Elephas maximus indicus: one gene and its partner. The protein of the gene in region 1 interacts with the protein of each later gene in a biochemical or structural test. Links are inferred from orthologs where the notes say so. Each region holds a gene or a part of one and is shown in the gene's direction. Other genes may lie near its edges.

Region 1 (7,892 bases):
AACTGCTCCTCCTTCTGAACACCTATAGCAATCTATTCCCTATACTCAGCAGGGAATGCTCTGCACCTTGTGTTGTTGTTTGTTCGTTAACGCATGCGACTGACCGCCCAAATAGAGTATAAAGGCTTTAAGGAAGGGCCTTGGATGGCTCTGGCATAATGCCCTGCCTGGGACAGGCAATCTGTGAGTGTGTTTGTCTTTGAGGCAGGTTGTTTATTTGTCACTTACTGAGTATCTGCTCTGGGCTAGGCGTTGACGACTGTTATGGAAGACACAGTCCCTGCTCTCAAGCAACTCCCAATCTTATGGGAGAGTTGTTAGTTGCCGTCAAGTGGATCCTGCCTCACGGTGATCCTACGTGTTTCAGAGTAGGACTACTCTATACGTAGCGCCTTCAAGGCTGTGAACTTTTGGAAGCAGACTGCCAGGCCTGTCTTTCAAGGTGCCTCTGGGTGGGTTTGAACTGTCAGCTTTTTAAGTTAGTAGTCCAGTGCTTAACTGTTTGCTCCGCCCAAGGACTCCTGGGAGAGAGAGAGAGGGAGAATAAGTAGACAATTACAGCAGGGTGGCACAGGCTATGAAGCAGCCATGCTATGTGACTATGAGAACAAAAGAAGTGCTGAGAGTCATTGATTAACAAGCTTTCCCTTCCCCAGGAGCTCTTTCTACAAGAACTGGGCCTTTTCATTGAGTCTGGGATCACTCCTCACAATACTGAACTATGACTTTTACTGCTTTGTTCTGCCCCACCCCAGAGTCCCAACGACAGGTAATGTGATTGTGGTGATAGGTATCCACCTTAGGATACCAAAGAAGATGTGACAGTCTTCCCATTTTCCTCTGGAGTTTAACGTTCTTTGGGTTTTGTGGTTCGCTTTTCAGCTATCTAGTAAATTCTCAAAATGTTTTTTTTTTTTATCTTGCTATCTGGGGTGATTTGGGATTGCTCATTTATTTTTATGAGGTGTAGATCCCCATTTATTGAAAAGTTATTCATTCTCCACCTTCCTCGTGAAGTCTTCAGTTCTCCCTAACAGAAGGAATTATTCCTTTCTTTCTAAAACGTTTTACATTGTCACTTCTACCCCTACTTTAATAAAATTAATCTCATTTTGTCTTTTATTACAGCTGTTCAGAGCCTCATTATATCTTAAGACTATAAGCCTCTTGAGGGCAAGACCATATTTGATTCACCCTAGTGGCTCTCTCTTCCTGCACCTTCATCTTTGTTATTTATACACAGTGGGCAATGAATAAATGTTTCTTGATTGATATACTGACATTTTGTAACATGATTCATGTTTAGTTGCATATTTTAGAGTATATGCTTCTAGAACATGGCCGATAACTTTAGTAGTTCCTGCAAGGATTTTTTTGTGTGACATATGAATATTTGTTTGATAAATGCTTTTCAGATATATAGGTAAAGGTTTCTGGATAAGTCTAGGTTCAGACATGGAATATTCTTTTCCTCTTTCCTTCTTGCCACCTACACATGGCTCTATTATTGCGTTGGTTTTCCTTACTTCCTGATTTCTTCCCAGTACTTGAAGAAACATCTGATTTGTTCTATCTATGGAAACCATGGTGGCATGGTGGCTAAGTGCTACAGCCATTGACCAAAGGGTCGGCAGTTCAAATCCGCCAGGTGCTCCTTGGAAACTATGGGGCAGTTCTACTCTATCCTATAGGGTCACTGTGTCGGAATCGACTCGATGGCAACGGGTTTTTTTTAATTCAAATATCTATTGAGTGCCAGGGAGTGTCACTGATACTGGGTGTGCAAGGGTGACAAACTAGATTTCCAATGTATCTACAAGGTTCAAACCCACCCATAGGCACCTCAGAAGTAAGGCCTAGAGATCTGCTTCCGACAGGCCACAGCCTCGAAAGCCCTAAGAAGCAGTTCTACTTTGCACACATAGGATGGCCATGAGTTGGAATGGGCTGGACAGCAACTACCAATAACAAACCATCTGCTGAAACAGTTTAATTTCTTCCATCAAATAATAGGTCAATTCAGTCAAAACAGATTACCTGATAGTTTGATAGCACTGTTTGAGAGACATTTTCAAAAGACTCAGTGCATCCTTTGTGAGGAAACCGCAGACTTGAAGCTCGCTGTCATTTGATTTTCTATTGTTTTTTGCCTCTCTGAAACTCAAGTATATACGTATGGCAGAGAATGCAGACTCATCATTAAGTTTTTTTCCCAGAAGCCATTCTAAATTTCTGCATATTGAATTTCAATCTTTAATTTCATCAGTCACTTAATTTTAAATTTTTAATCTGGCAGCAAGTTTACTGGCTTTTCATAGACTTTTGCATAACAGAGGCGAGATTTGCCCTGTCTGCTTTCCTGGTCAAGGTGAAATTGAATCATTTTCTGGGCTGAATATTCTTTTAAAAACCAAACAAAAAACAAACCCGTTGCTGTCACGTAGATTCTGACTCATGATGACCCTATATATAAGAGGGTAGAACTGCCCCACTGGGTTTCCAAGGAGCAGCTGGTGGATTTGAGCTGCCAATCTTTTGGTTAGCAGCCATAGCTCTTAAGCACTGCACCACCGGGGCTCCATTCCTCTAAAAAGGAAACTAAAACAGCAGATCTTATACCTCCATGATTTGCTTTTCCTTCTGGCTTACAGTGTGTGTGTGTGTGTGTGTGTGTGTGTGTACGTGCTGGGGTGGTATGGGGGTAATGACAAATGGAAAGAACGAAGTCATAGAGCTGTCAACCAAGAACCCAACGTGCGCTGACCTACAGCAATAGTACAGGCTACCTTTGGCTTGGCTTGACCTTACTTTACATTCTGGATCAGCACCTTGCACCAGAGACATCTCAGAGAAAACATAAAATGAGAAAAAGAGACTCTCCTCATAAAGTATACTTGAGCAGGAAGCAATGCGGGTTTCTTTCACCTCTTCTAGCTGTTAGATCAACAACACCCGCAATCGGCAAGGAAAAAATTTTTTTGCCATTTATCAGTAGTACATCACAACAAAATAAGCCTCAATCAAAAGTGGAAAAACAAATAATCAGAATGGAATTTTGCTGGGACAATCTTGATTTTCTCATTTTTATATATGTATTTTTTCCTTTTCCTTTATCCCACATTATTTTGCATTTTCCCATACGTCATCCATAACTGAATCTCCGTCTAGGAAAATAAGTTTGATTACTTGCTGTTAAACACCATGTGTCTTCACAAAAACAAGAGGCGGCCTTGTAAAAAACAAAACAAAACCACCTTCAATGGCATGAAAAGTTGGAGGCCATCGGGAAGCTCTTGCAAACTTGGGCGTCTTCATTTTTCTACTCAGGATTTAGATTTCTTTGTGGACCGTTTCGCCTGTTAATCTTCCTCTTGGCCCCTCCAAGAACCAGTGACTATTTCTTCTATTCCCCAGTCCCACCCCACAACTCAGATGATCTTTATTTTCTACGACTGAACTAGGGTCAGAGGTGATGCAAGATACTTTCTAACCGAATGGCGTTTTAGAAACAGGAATGAGAAAGAATACACAAGCGGGTTTACGGCTGCAGTGGGGGGGGGGGCAGAAAGGCGCTGCTGCAATAGGGGGCCCTGGCGCGAGCGCCACCGCCGCCTGCAGGGAGCGGGCAGGGTGTGTGCGCCGCCAGGCTGTTCGGTGGGTTTGCGGGCCTGAATCCTCCGACTTCCAGCAGGGGCCGAGGCTGCTTTCCCGGGCTCGAGGGCTGGAATTCCAGGCAGGCGGAGGCCGCCATATTCCTGCTTTACCACGCCCGGGCGGTTGGCCCGGCAGCGGCAGGTTGGCGGCGGCCCCAGACCACAGCAGCGGCCGCCGGTTGGGGCACCGCGTCAGCCAGCCAGGGGGACCCAGCCCCCGCCCCGACCCCCGCCGGGGGCGGCCGTGACCGCTGCGCCCGCGGGCCCCTACGAGAGCGCTGGAGCGGGAAGCGCCCGCAGAGCCGGAGGGGGCCGGTCCCGAGCGGTGAGCTGCGCGGGAGAGGCCGGAGCCGCACCAGGAGGCGCGCCGCGGCGGCTGCGAACCCAGGAAAGCCTTCCAGGAGGGGCCGGGCGGCCCCGCCTCCCAGCTCCCCTCCTCCCGCGTCCGTCCCCTAGCTCCCTCTTCCCCCTCCTCCCGCCGCTGCCGCCTCCCTCCCGGATCTGTGCTCCAGTTCAGAGAAAGAAGAAAATGTGTGTGTGTGGCGAGGGGGAGGGCGAGCAGTGAGCAGCCGCTCCGCGCCTGGCAATCGAGGCCGGGGGTGGGCGTCTGGCGGAGGCGGAGACGGAGGAGGAGGAAGGAGTACGCGGCGGCGGGCGGTCGAACCGGCCGGCAAGCGGTGTTTGCGCGCGAGCCGGGCGGTGGGCGCGGGCAGGGCCGAGGGCGCCCGGGAGCCGTGTCAGGCGGCGGCGAACAGCGGGCGCGCCGGGCGCGGGGAGCCGTCGGCGGCCGCTGGCTGCGGGGACGTCCCGGTGGATGTGCTCTTGCCGCCCGGCGCCCAGCTTAGGGGAGTCTCGGCGGCCGCGGCGGCGCGGGGGGCGAGGCGGGCTCCCCGTTCCCGGGGAAGGAGGCGCGGGCGTCTGAGCGAGGCCGGGCGCGGCGGCCTTCCCCCGCGCGCCCCCCGAGCCAGCGCCCGCGGCCGCCTCCCGCGCCCGCCTCGTTCCTCCCGCGGCCCAGGGGACCACTCCGAGCCGTTCGCTCCCGCCGCGCCCCCCGGCCCACCAGGTGGCCCGGCCCTGGCCGTGGTCCCCGCGGCGGCTCCCCGAGCTCGTCCCGGCCGCGCGCCCGGGCGGCGAGGGCTCGGCGGCCACCGCTGCCTCCGGGGAGCGAGGGTGGGAGGGTGTGTGTGCGCGCGTGTGAGCAGGGGGTGCCGGCGAGGCTGCAGCGGAGGCACTTTGGAAGAATGACTCTGGAGTCCATCATGGCGTGCTGCCTGAGCGAGGAGGCCAAGGAAGCCCGGCGGATCAACGACGAGATCGAGCGGCAGCTCCGTAGGGACAAGCGGGACGCCCGCCGGGAGCTCAAGCTGCTGCTGCTCGGTGAGTACGGCCCGGGCCCGGCCGCCTGGTGCCCTCTCGCCGGGCTTCCGTGTCCCCGCCCGCCACTCCCGGCCCCTCGGGGTAGCTGCCCATGGCGCCCCCAGCCCCCGGCGCCTGTGGCTCACCCCTGCCCTCCCTGGGCGCGCGGGCGCGCCCCTGGCCACCACCCGCAGGCGCGCGGACGCGTACAGACACGCGCGCGCGCGCGCACTTATACACACACACACACACACACACACACACACACACGCACGCTTCATGCTGCCCTGCCGGGTGCCTTGGCGTGTGCCTTTTCGTGTCCCTAGGGCTGTGAATTCGGGGTGCGCGTTTATCTGCTGTGCATCTGCTAAACGGAAAATCACTTCACGGGAGAGGCTCGGGGCGCGGGGGTGGGAAGGTGGGCAGAGAGGTTGAACTTAAAGTGTCGTAGCGCGGCGCCCGGTGGGATGGTCGCGTGGGGAGCTGTGTGTGTGTGTGTCCCCGAGCGTGGCGAGCGGAGCCAGGACACGCTAGAAGATGGTGTGTGGTGGAGTGGCGTGTGCATCCGCTATCAGTGCCTTCTGGGGTCTGGAGTTAATTGGGGAGCGGTGGGCAGACTCGCGGCTGGATTCGCCAAGAGTGGTGATGAGGTATAGGAGTGCCTGGTCCTCCAAAGAAAGGGGGCTTATGTACTGGGGAGAGGGGCAGCCCCAAATGCTACAGAAGTGCTATTCTTTAGCCGTCAGACCACCGAAAGGAGGGACCCCAGAGGAGTTTCTTGGCCAGTGGATAGTGACAGGCTTGTTTCTCGTCTGCACCATTCCTTCCGGATAAAAATGAGGGATATGGGAGCGCTGTGCTGTGTGGTTGTTGACAGCGACGGGTATCTTTTGTTTAATGAAGGCAACCCAGATGTAGGCCTGAATTCACAATAGTTACTACTGAAAACCCATGCAGCCTCCAATTACTCCCATGGAAACAAATAGAAACCTTTTGTTTGTTTTAAACAGACATCGTTTTAATATCATTGGAATCTGGGCTAGAAGGAAAACGGGAAGCTTGTAGCAAAAATTTCCCTTTAATCTCTAAACAAACAACTCAACATTCTGCTTTAACACTAAGTTAGCAAGAAAATGCCATTTCTCAAATAGGAATTCTATTGATTATTATCTCCGAGAGAATGTTCAGTGTCAAGCCATCAGGGTTCACATACAAGCCAGCATGACATAACTCTGAGCTTTTATTGTGGTAGGAAGTGCAAACAGCTTTGCAGTAACAGGCCTGAAAAATGTCTGCACTTGTGTCCTGGCTTTTTGCTTGTATAATAAATATGTTTCTCCAACATTTCAGTAAGAGAAGAATATTGCATTGTCAGTTAGGGTTTGAGAAGCAGGCATTTTCTTATCTTGAGCGTTCCATCTTCTGGCTCAAGGAACCAATTGCCTTTGTGACTGAACTGCTATGTACTGGATCATTTACAAGAAGGAACAAAATATAATGATCACACATAGTTACAAATGGTTAATTCACATGCCATGCGTTATGTCTTCATTTGGAAACCCGATTAGGTAAGTGTGCACAGGTTTATAAAGAACAGAAGGCAGAGCCCTAGATGAAAGAGGTGGGCTTAAGGGAAACTCCAGTTGGAAAATGAAGGTTTTTTTTTTTAATTCTCATTTTTGGGTTGCTTTTAATGGTTGACAATGTATAGTTGAATGTTTTCTGAATTCTCAAGATGAGGAGAAAATAGAGAGGGCAAGAAAAATGTATAGAGTGCTTAAGGGCTCAATTACGGGAAAAAGCATGTGTTTTAGGGTGATTTCAGTGATTTGTCTTTCGAGTGATTTGATTTTTCTTTTGCCGTTTACAGTCGTTAGTTGTTTCTGCCTAGCTGTGAACAGGGCGTTGGAGGTCTCTCAAGCCAGCCCTATTGCCTGAAATTGACAGCAGCTCTGAGTTTCCCAGCAGCTGAGTTAGAGCTGGGGCTTTGCCCCAGGGCCTATGTTTGAATGCCTAGGAGGAAGACTGCTGGGGAAATAAAACATATATGGATGCCTGATTACATACTGTGCATTTAAATAACACACTGTGCATTTAAACATGAACTAGGAGATGATTTCGTGAGGGGAAAAATGGAAAGTAAAACAGTGTTCCTGCTAAAGTGGTGTTGGTGTGGAGAACTTCCCCCCCCATTAGGTTTTTGAGTAGGGTTTAATACAGCCCTCCTGCCCCCATATGACCTATTAGAAGTGGTAGGGAAATATGACATAAATTGAGAATCTCCGTTTATAAGTAAGGTTTAAAAATGCTACAGCCGTCTATCAGAAACACGATCACTGGATATCATGTAAGAGCTGGTACAGCTTTATGTTCTAGGTTTATTGCACTGATAACATGTAACCACTGCAATATCTATAATGTGGATATAGTCACAGCATACACTAAGTGTAGATTTGTGGGTGAGTGCGGGAGCGTGATTTCACAATTTTTTGAGTCCAAGAGGGAAATGATGGTTGATTTGCGGAACAAGGGAAGGTGTTGGGGAGGGGTTCCCTTTGAGGAAGCCCTGATGTGTGCTGTGCTGCTGAGTAGACTGAGCCTTCCGGTTCCTCCATTCATTTAATCGGTATCAGCCCAGAGGGGGTGACACTATATGTTCTTTCACAGTTTAAAGATTTCCTAGTATTTTTTAACCAGCTTATTTAAATTGAAGAATCACCTGCATATTGATATTCAGTATAAAATTATTTTCAAAGTAAATTGTGGGTCAAGGCATGATGCCATTTTAATGGGCTTGTTGGACAGGGGTATAAGGGTGGACTCCTAAATTTGTTTACATGGTTTATAAATATGATTTGGTTTGTATATTAGGAATATGGAGAA
Region 2 (7,132 bases), on another chromosome or scaffold:
AGGCTCCAGCAGGCGGGAACACCCCCTCCTGGACCTTGGTGTGTGCTGGTCCTCATCCCAGACCTCATCTGTGCACACACAGTCAAGACCTCGCTCAGGCCTTCCCTGACCCTCCAGCTGACCACACTTTTCCCCTGAGTGTCCCACCTACCTGTATTATAGCTCTTGCCTGGTTAATTGGAGGTGTGCGTTTAAGGATCTTCTTCCCCACTGGACTGGGCTGACACTGAGTCCTGTTCTCTCTGTGGCCCCAGTTTTGTGCCAGGGGCCATGCTGGGTATGAAAGGTGCCATGGTGACCACCACAGAGAGAAGTTCCAAGGGAGAGCTTTGAGCAGGGGCCCACCATGCCGGAAGTGGGGGAAAAGGTGTTTGGGCATGGGGAGCCATAGAGGCAAGGCCCCAGAGGTGAACCTGAGCTCGGCTTGTCCTAGCGACAGAAAGACCAGGGAGGTCAGACACCAAGGAACAAGAGGAAGGGGGAAGGAGTTAAAGCAGTGGCCAGGGGCCAGGCCACACAGCTTTTACAGGTCCCAGAAAGGAGGGTGGGCTTTACCCTACATGCGGGGAGCAGCTATTGGAGGCAGGTCTGACTGTGGTCTGTGAAAACTCTGGCTGACTGCTGGGGGAGTGGACGGATGGGCTCGAGGACAAGAGGGAGACCTCAGGAGCAGGTGTGGGCATCTAGGAGGGAGGTGATGGGGACTCAGGCCCGGGTTTCACAGGCCACAGTGGAAGGATTCAGGGTATATTTTAGAGACAGACACACCAGGTAGCCGACAGGACAGGCTGGCTGACAGCGTGCGTGTATGTGAGGTGAAGCGGGAGATGAAGGAACCGTGAAATTGGGATGACTCCAGAGTTTCTGGAAGGTGAAGGAGCCATGACTGAGATGCGGAGGCAGGAGGAACAGGCTAGGCAAGAGCTGGGCAGCGGGAGTCAGAGCCCCGTGTGGGATGTGTTAAGTTTGCAAAACTTCATTAGTCATCGGTGCAGATACCAAGTAACCATGTGTCTACGAGTCTGCCAGCTGGGTGGAGTTGGGGTTCCTTTCCTCTTTGCACTCCCAGCATCCCAGCTAAAGCCTGGCACTTTCTGGGCACCAGCGAGGTTTGTTGAGAGAAGGAATGCCTGAAGCCTGTGAGATAAGGCAAGCTTAGCAACCGGCCTTCCCATACCACCAGAGGGCAGCACCATCCCAAAAATCAGCCTCCCTGGGGTCAGGTACTGGCACCACTTTATTCCTAACCCGGGCTTCCAGAACCCACTTTCCTGGGCCCCTGGACTCACTGAGGGGCACCCAGGAGACAGGCTCCCTCGAGGGCTTCCGGCCTAGCCCGGGATGTGGGTTGAGCTGTGGGCAGGCAGGAGGGGCCATCTGGGTTCTCAAGTGGTGGAGGAAGGCAGGGCTGCCTCCCAGAACCCACGTGCAGCCCCTGGTCTGATAAGTTCCTCAGGAAGAATTTCCTAAACGGAGCCTGTCCCAGAAAACCCAGGCCAGCACACGGCTGTACTCACAGTCCTCATGATTCGGGGCTGGGGTCAGGGAGAGGGTTCAGGGCCTCCTGTTGTGGTTTCCTGGTGTGCCCCTGGCCCTGTTCTGCCCCCAATTCCACACGACACCTTGGGTAGGGAGCTCATTTATTCATCAGATACTGACAAATGTCCTGTCTGTGTCAGTCCCTGTGCTGGGCCCTGTGCCAGACACCGGGGGCAAGAGATAAACCTGGAGCCTCGGTACCACGGGAGATGCAGTGTCTCCTTTTTTTTTTGAACTGAGCATTCCCAACATCACGATGCATTTTCCACTTGATGCAAACATTTGATAAAGCCCACCCCCATGGTCAAAAACGTGAAATGGTGCACCTTGCTATTGATGATTTCAAATCAAGGAAACTGGTTCTCATAAGTAAGTAAGGAGCCCTGGTGGTACAATAGCTAAGCACTTAACTGCTAACCCAAAGGTTGGCAGTTCAAACCCACCCAGCAGCTCTGCGGGAGAAAAATCTGGGGATCTACTTATGTAGTAATTACAGCCTAGAAAATTCTATGGAGCTCTTCTATTCTGTCACATGGGCTCACTATGAGTTGAAATGGACCCTAAGGCATCCAACAACAACAGGTGGTAAAAATGCAGAGTCAGAGATGTACCCAGTTCAGGTCACGGGGTCAGGGAAGGCTACCTGGAGGAGGTGGGTCTTAAAGGATGAGCAGGAGTTAGCCAAGGAAGAAGGCACAGGAAACAGCAAAGGCACGGAGGTGAGGAGTCATAGGTAGGCTGGTGGAGGGACCCCAGGTGCAGAGGATGGGGAAAAGGGGAGCAGGGCCCAGTCACCCAAGACCTTGACTTGCAGGTTCAAAAGCATCTTAACCTGGTCTGCTTTGAACAAAGTGGAGTGGGGGTCTGCAGTTTCCCTTGGGGTCCCCGACCCTCAGCAGCCCCAGAAGGCCTAGAAATCCACTTCTAGATGCTAAGCAGGTGGTGACCTGGTTAGATATAGATTTGGGAGAGGCAAGTCTGGTCAGGGCCTGCACCAGGGCAGTGGTCATGGGGATCCTGAGACACGAACAGCTTCAAGGAGATTCTCAGGGGGCCAGATAAGAGGGTATGGTGATTTAAAAAAATGGTGAAGTGAATCAAGGAATGATGCCTGGAGTCCTGACTTGGGTATCTAGGTGCATGGGGGTGTCACTCGTTGAGAACGGGACCTTGCCCTCTCTGAGGTGCTCTGGTTCTAGGCTCTGCTGGGGCTGATCTGAGAAAGTAGCTGTGGCCTCCTCCTTCCCTGAGAAGTCCCCGGGGAGGGGGTCCCTGTTTTGCAAGAGGGTCCTGATTGCTGAACTGGCCTGAAGATTGAGCTCCACATGTCCAGGACTGGGAGTGGGTCCTGTCACCTGAGAAAGACAGAGGGGCTCTGAAGAGGGGAACATTGAGATGGTGGTGCTACCTGGAGCCACACGGCTCCTCCCTACCTGGGAGTGGGCTCTCAGCGTGGTGGGTTTCCTTTGCCAGGCAGTGCTGAAGCCCCTGTGCCCTGTCTGTCTGATCCCACGTTGTGGAGTCATCTGAATGAACAGCAGCCTCTGGATGGGATGGGGTGCAGGGAAGGGGGCTGGGCTCATCCAGAGTGGGTGGAGCTGGGTGCAGGGTCCTTGATCCTGTCTGGGGGTCCTGAGGCCGGAATGGGGCTGGGAGAAGTCTGGAGTCTGGCTGTAGTTGTCAAGTCCCAGGTCCTTGGTCCTGGTGACCTGTTCAGGGTTCTGGGTCCGGGTTGAATGTCCTGTGTCCTGTGTGTCTAGAGTCCCGGGCATTGGGTCTTGGACCTTGGTCCGGTCTTGATGGTTCAAATCCAGGTCTGGGCCCTGACATCAAGTCCAGGAATCATGGTTACGGTAATGGTGTGGTTCTGGGGTTGAAATCAAGGTTGGGGTCAGTAACCAGATTGCGGTCATGGTCCAAAGTCTGGATCTGGGGGTCCTACTGGGGACTCTAGGGTCAGCGTGAAGGTCTGGGTGTGGAGTCGGCTGCCCAGGGTTGTCATCTCAGGTTGTGGTCAGTGTGTGAGGTCTTGGCCCAAGGTCTGGGTCTGGGGTTCCTGTTTTGGAGTCTGGGGTCAGGACTGCTATCCAGGTCATGGACTGAGTCCTGGGTCAGGGAGTCTGGGGCTACCGTCAGGGTCTGAGGCTGAAGTCCTGGAAATCATGTTCTGAAGTCTGGGTCTGAGGTCGTGGTCAGTGTCAGAGCCAAGCCTGGGGAGCCCAGTCTGGAGTTGGGATCTGAGGTTGTGGTCAAGGTTTGGGTCTGGGGTCCCATTCGGTCCCAGGCCCTTGTGGTGTTTGGGCCTGGAGCCAAGGTCACGGTCGGGGTCTGGGCTCCTGGTCCCAAGCCTGGCTCGGGGTCAGGCCAGGCGGCCCGCAGCCTCCAGGGGGCGCCCCGCCGCCGCCGGCTCGGCCCCTCGCGGCTCCTGGCGCTGTGCGCGGCAGGCGGGGCCGGAGGCGGCGGTGGCTCCGGCGGCTCCGGGGCGCGGGCGGCGGCGACGGCGGCGGCGGCGGCGGCTTCGGCGGCGGCGGCGGCGGCGCCCCGACTGCAGTCCCGGCGGGAGCGGAGTGCGAGCCGGCCGGGCCGAGCCGGCGCTATGGGGCGGCGCCGCCTGTGAGCGGGCGAGCGGGGCCGCGGGGCCGAGCGGGCGGCGGCGGCGGCCGAGCCGAGCGGAGCGGCCGGGCGGCCGAGCGCGCCGAGCAGCGAGGGAGCGGAGCGGCGGGAGGAGGCCGCCGCCGCCGCCAAGATGGCGGACCTGGAGGCGGTGCTGGCCGACGTGAGCTACCTGATGGCCATGGAGAAGAGCAAGGCCACGCCGGCCGCGCGCGCCAGCAAGAAGATCCTGCTGCCCGAGCCCAGGTGAGGCCGCGCGCGGGGCGCCCCTGCCTCGACCCCACCGCAGCCCCGTGCCCCGAGTCCCGACCCGGAGCCCCGACCCGCAGCCCCAGACCCCCAGCACTGGCCCTCGGGACCCCCTCTGCCCCGCCGCTGCTCGCGGGCCAGCAGCCCTGAGCGGCTCCGACTGGGTCCCGAGGCCCCGTGCACCTGAACCTGGGGCCCCCGGGCTCCCAGCTCAACTGTCTCCCAGGCGCTCCCAGCGTCCCGTGGCCCACTCCGGGCTCCCTCCCTCCCTGTCAGCCCCACACTGCTGCCTTCTCCCCTTCTTACTCCTCTGAGCAGCCCTTGGTCCCCGCGGGGTCTCCTCGGCCTGCCGTCATTTGCCTGGCCGGAGCTATCAGCTATCGCCCATGCTTGGGCTGCTCCTACCCCCAGCACCGCTTCCTCTCCCCCACCCCTGCCAGTTGTTGGAGGTTGGGGTGGGGGGCAACAAGTCTTGGGGCTGCTTCCTGGGGATATTTCCCACTCCTGTCATGGGACCACTGTCCGGGGGCTGAATCTGGGAGTGCTTTTTGGGCAGGTGTGTAGGGGGAGCCCGGTGGGATCTGTGCACGGTGTCCAGGTGGGCTGTGCTCGGGTGCTGGCTGGGCCGCCCACTGTGTCCTCTCCCCTTGGCATGCCTTCTCTGGTGGGCCCTGTGTGTGGTGTGCCCTGCTGAGTGCTGTTGACCAGGGGACATTCCAGCAGCCCTGCGGCAGCTGGGCCAGGGTTGCCACCTCTGTAAGACAGCTGATGTCACCATGCTTGGTATCAAAGTTTAAAACTTTTCAGGATGTAGCTGCAGGTATACAGGGTATGCAGAGGGCTCAGTCTGTCCAGCACTTTATGGCTTTCCCATTGTACGGGCCTCCTAGCAGCTCGTGGGGTGGGTAGGACAGGTGTGGATTCATTCCTGTGGAACAGGTGGGGAAACAGAAGCTCCAGAGGTGAGTGGCCTGCCCACTGATACACAGATAACACAGGGTGGAACCCGGCCACCACCTCAGGGATTCTAGCTTCTAGCTCTACGTTCCGTCTACTGCCTGGACACGCTGCATCTGTGAGGGCTGTGTGCCCACCGTGATTCCTTATGTCACGTGGCCAGTCCCAGCCATTCCTCCAATGCCTGGGAGCGGGCCTGCTGTGACTCTGGGCAAGTCCCTTCCCATGTCTGGGCCTCGGTTCTCTCATCTGTGAAATGTGGATGACGTGAAATGAGGGCTGTGGCTCTGTGGTGTCCTGAGGCCCCCGAGCAGGGCCGCAGCTGCCTCAGCCTGGAGCTGCAGGAGTCTCCCAATGGTGCCCTCCACCCTGCCCTTTTGCTGGGTTTCACGTTGACTGAACACCAAGCTTGGGAGAGAGAGGAAAATGGGCCTGCGCTTTGAAAAGGCCGTTAGGGCCCCTTTTTTTCTAAGACGTTTGCTATCAGATTTCTCAAAACAGGAACCAGAACTGACTGTCAGCTGGGGGCTGACCAGGGAGCTGAGACAGTTAGAACAAAATGAGTTCAGAAATGACAAAGCCACGAGAGAGGAAATGGGGGGAGCCAACCTCGAGGGCTCGCAATGGCTCTTCGCGGTGGCCGCGGCCTCAAGACCCTCCTGCAGGCTGGAGTTCTGCGAAGTGTGAGGTGGAGCCCTTTCTGGAACTCTCTGTGTTTGGGTAATCTAACCCCAGAATGCATTGCTCATGATGGGGCCCCGCCTTGGGTTGGCCGTGCAGGTGTTAGAACCCTGAGAAACAAGCCGTTCTTCTTTTCCTGTCTCCTTGGCCGTCCAGGGTGGTGATCGTCGTGGTGATAGGAATCAGGATGGAAATGATAATCAAGTTGTTACTGATTTTGACATCTGTCATCTCAGTTGGCTCTAAAAGAACCTGTGAAGTTGGCAAGGCCTGTGCCTTGCATGGAATAGTTGCTCAGGAAATCCCGGAGGGCTGTGTTCTGGCTGCCCTGTTCCTAAGTGGAGACCAGGCAGGCAGTGCTAAGGGAGCAGCTGGAGGCTGAGAGCCAGGTGCTGTGGCTTCTCATATAGGGTCACCATCTGGCAGCAGGATGTTGGGTACATCCCCCACACCCATGAGGTGGCCGGAGGCGCTAGCTCTGGATGGCAGGGCACCGACACCCAGGAGTCCAGGCCTAGGTGTGTGATGACACTGTAGCCAGTGGGTCCAGTGTCTCCTGGCCCTCAGCGGCGATGTGACTATAGCTCACATTTGCCTGGCACTTCCCAGTTTGCAAAGCGCTCTGACTCCATTTTATCCTTTCCACGACGGTGGGAAGCAAGCACATCAGGTGGTTTTCTCCCCATTTAATAGCTGAAGAAACTGAGACTCAGAGGGAGAGAGACTTGGTATCAGAGAAGAGCTGGAATTTGAACCGTGCTCTCTGGACCTCTGGCCAGTGCTGCTTTCCCGCTATGCTTCTCTGTCCACCCCGAACACCTCTGTTGTCACCTCGGCGCACGTTTGTTTGTTTATTTATTTGATTGTGCTTTAAGTGAAAGTTTACAAATCAAGTCAGTATCTCATACAAATCTTTATATACACCTTGCTATATACTCCTAGCCACCCTCCCCCAATGAGACAGCACACTCCTCTCCACCCTCTGTCTCCGCATCCATTCAGCCAACTCCTGACCCCCTCTGCCTTCTGTCTCCCCTCCAGACAGGAGCTGCCCGCATAGTCTCATGTGTCTACTTGAGCCAAGAAGCTCACT

Evidence for each region. The genes of interacting proteins can lie anywhere in the genome.
Region 2: the proteins of guanine nucleotide-binding protein G(q) subunit alpha (region 1) and GRK2 form a complex in vitro, tested with the Homo sapiens proteins (3 studies listed by BioGRID). The link is inferred for Elephas maximus indicus from reciprocal best matches to the Homo sapiens genes GNAQ and GRK2.

Annotation. Positions count from the first base shown.
Region 1 is NC_064827.1:94,374,565-94,382,456, reverse strand, and holds the start of guanine nucleotide-binding protein G(q) subunit alpha, read left to right. Parts: upstream 1-4,797; 5' UTR 4,798-4,894; coding exon 4,895-5,030; intron 5,031-7,892.
Region 2 is NC_064825.1:130,316,344-130,323,475, forward strand, and holds the start of GRK2 (beta-adrenergic receptor kinase 1), read left to right. Parts: upstream 1-4,057; 5' UTR 4,058-4,285; coding exon 4,286-4,398; intron 4,399-7,132. UniProt on the Homo sapiens protein: Specifically phosphorylates the agonist-occupied form of the beta-adrenergic and closely related receptors, probably inducing a desensitization of them. Key regulator of LPAR1 signaling.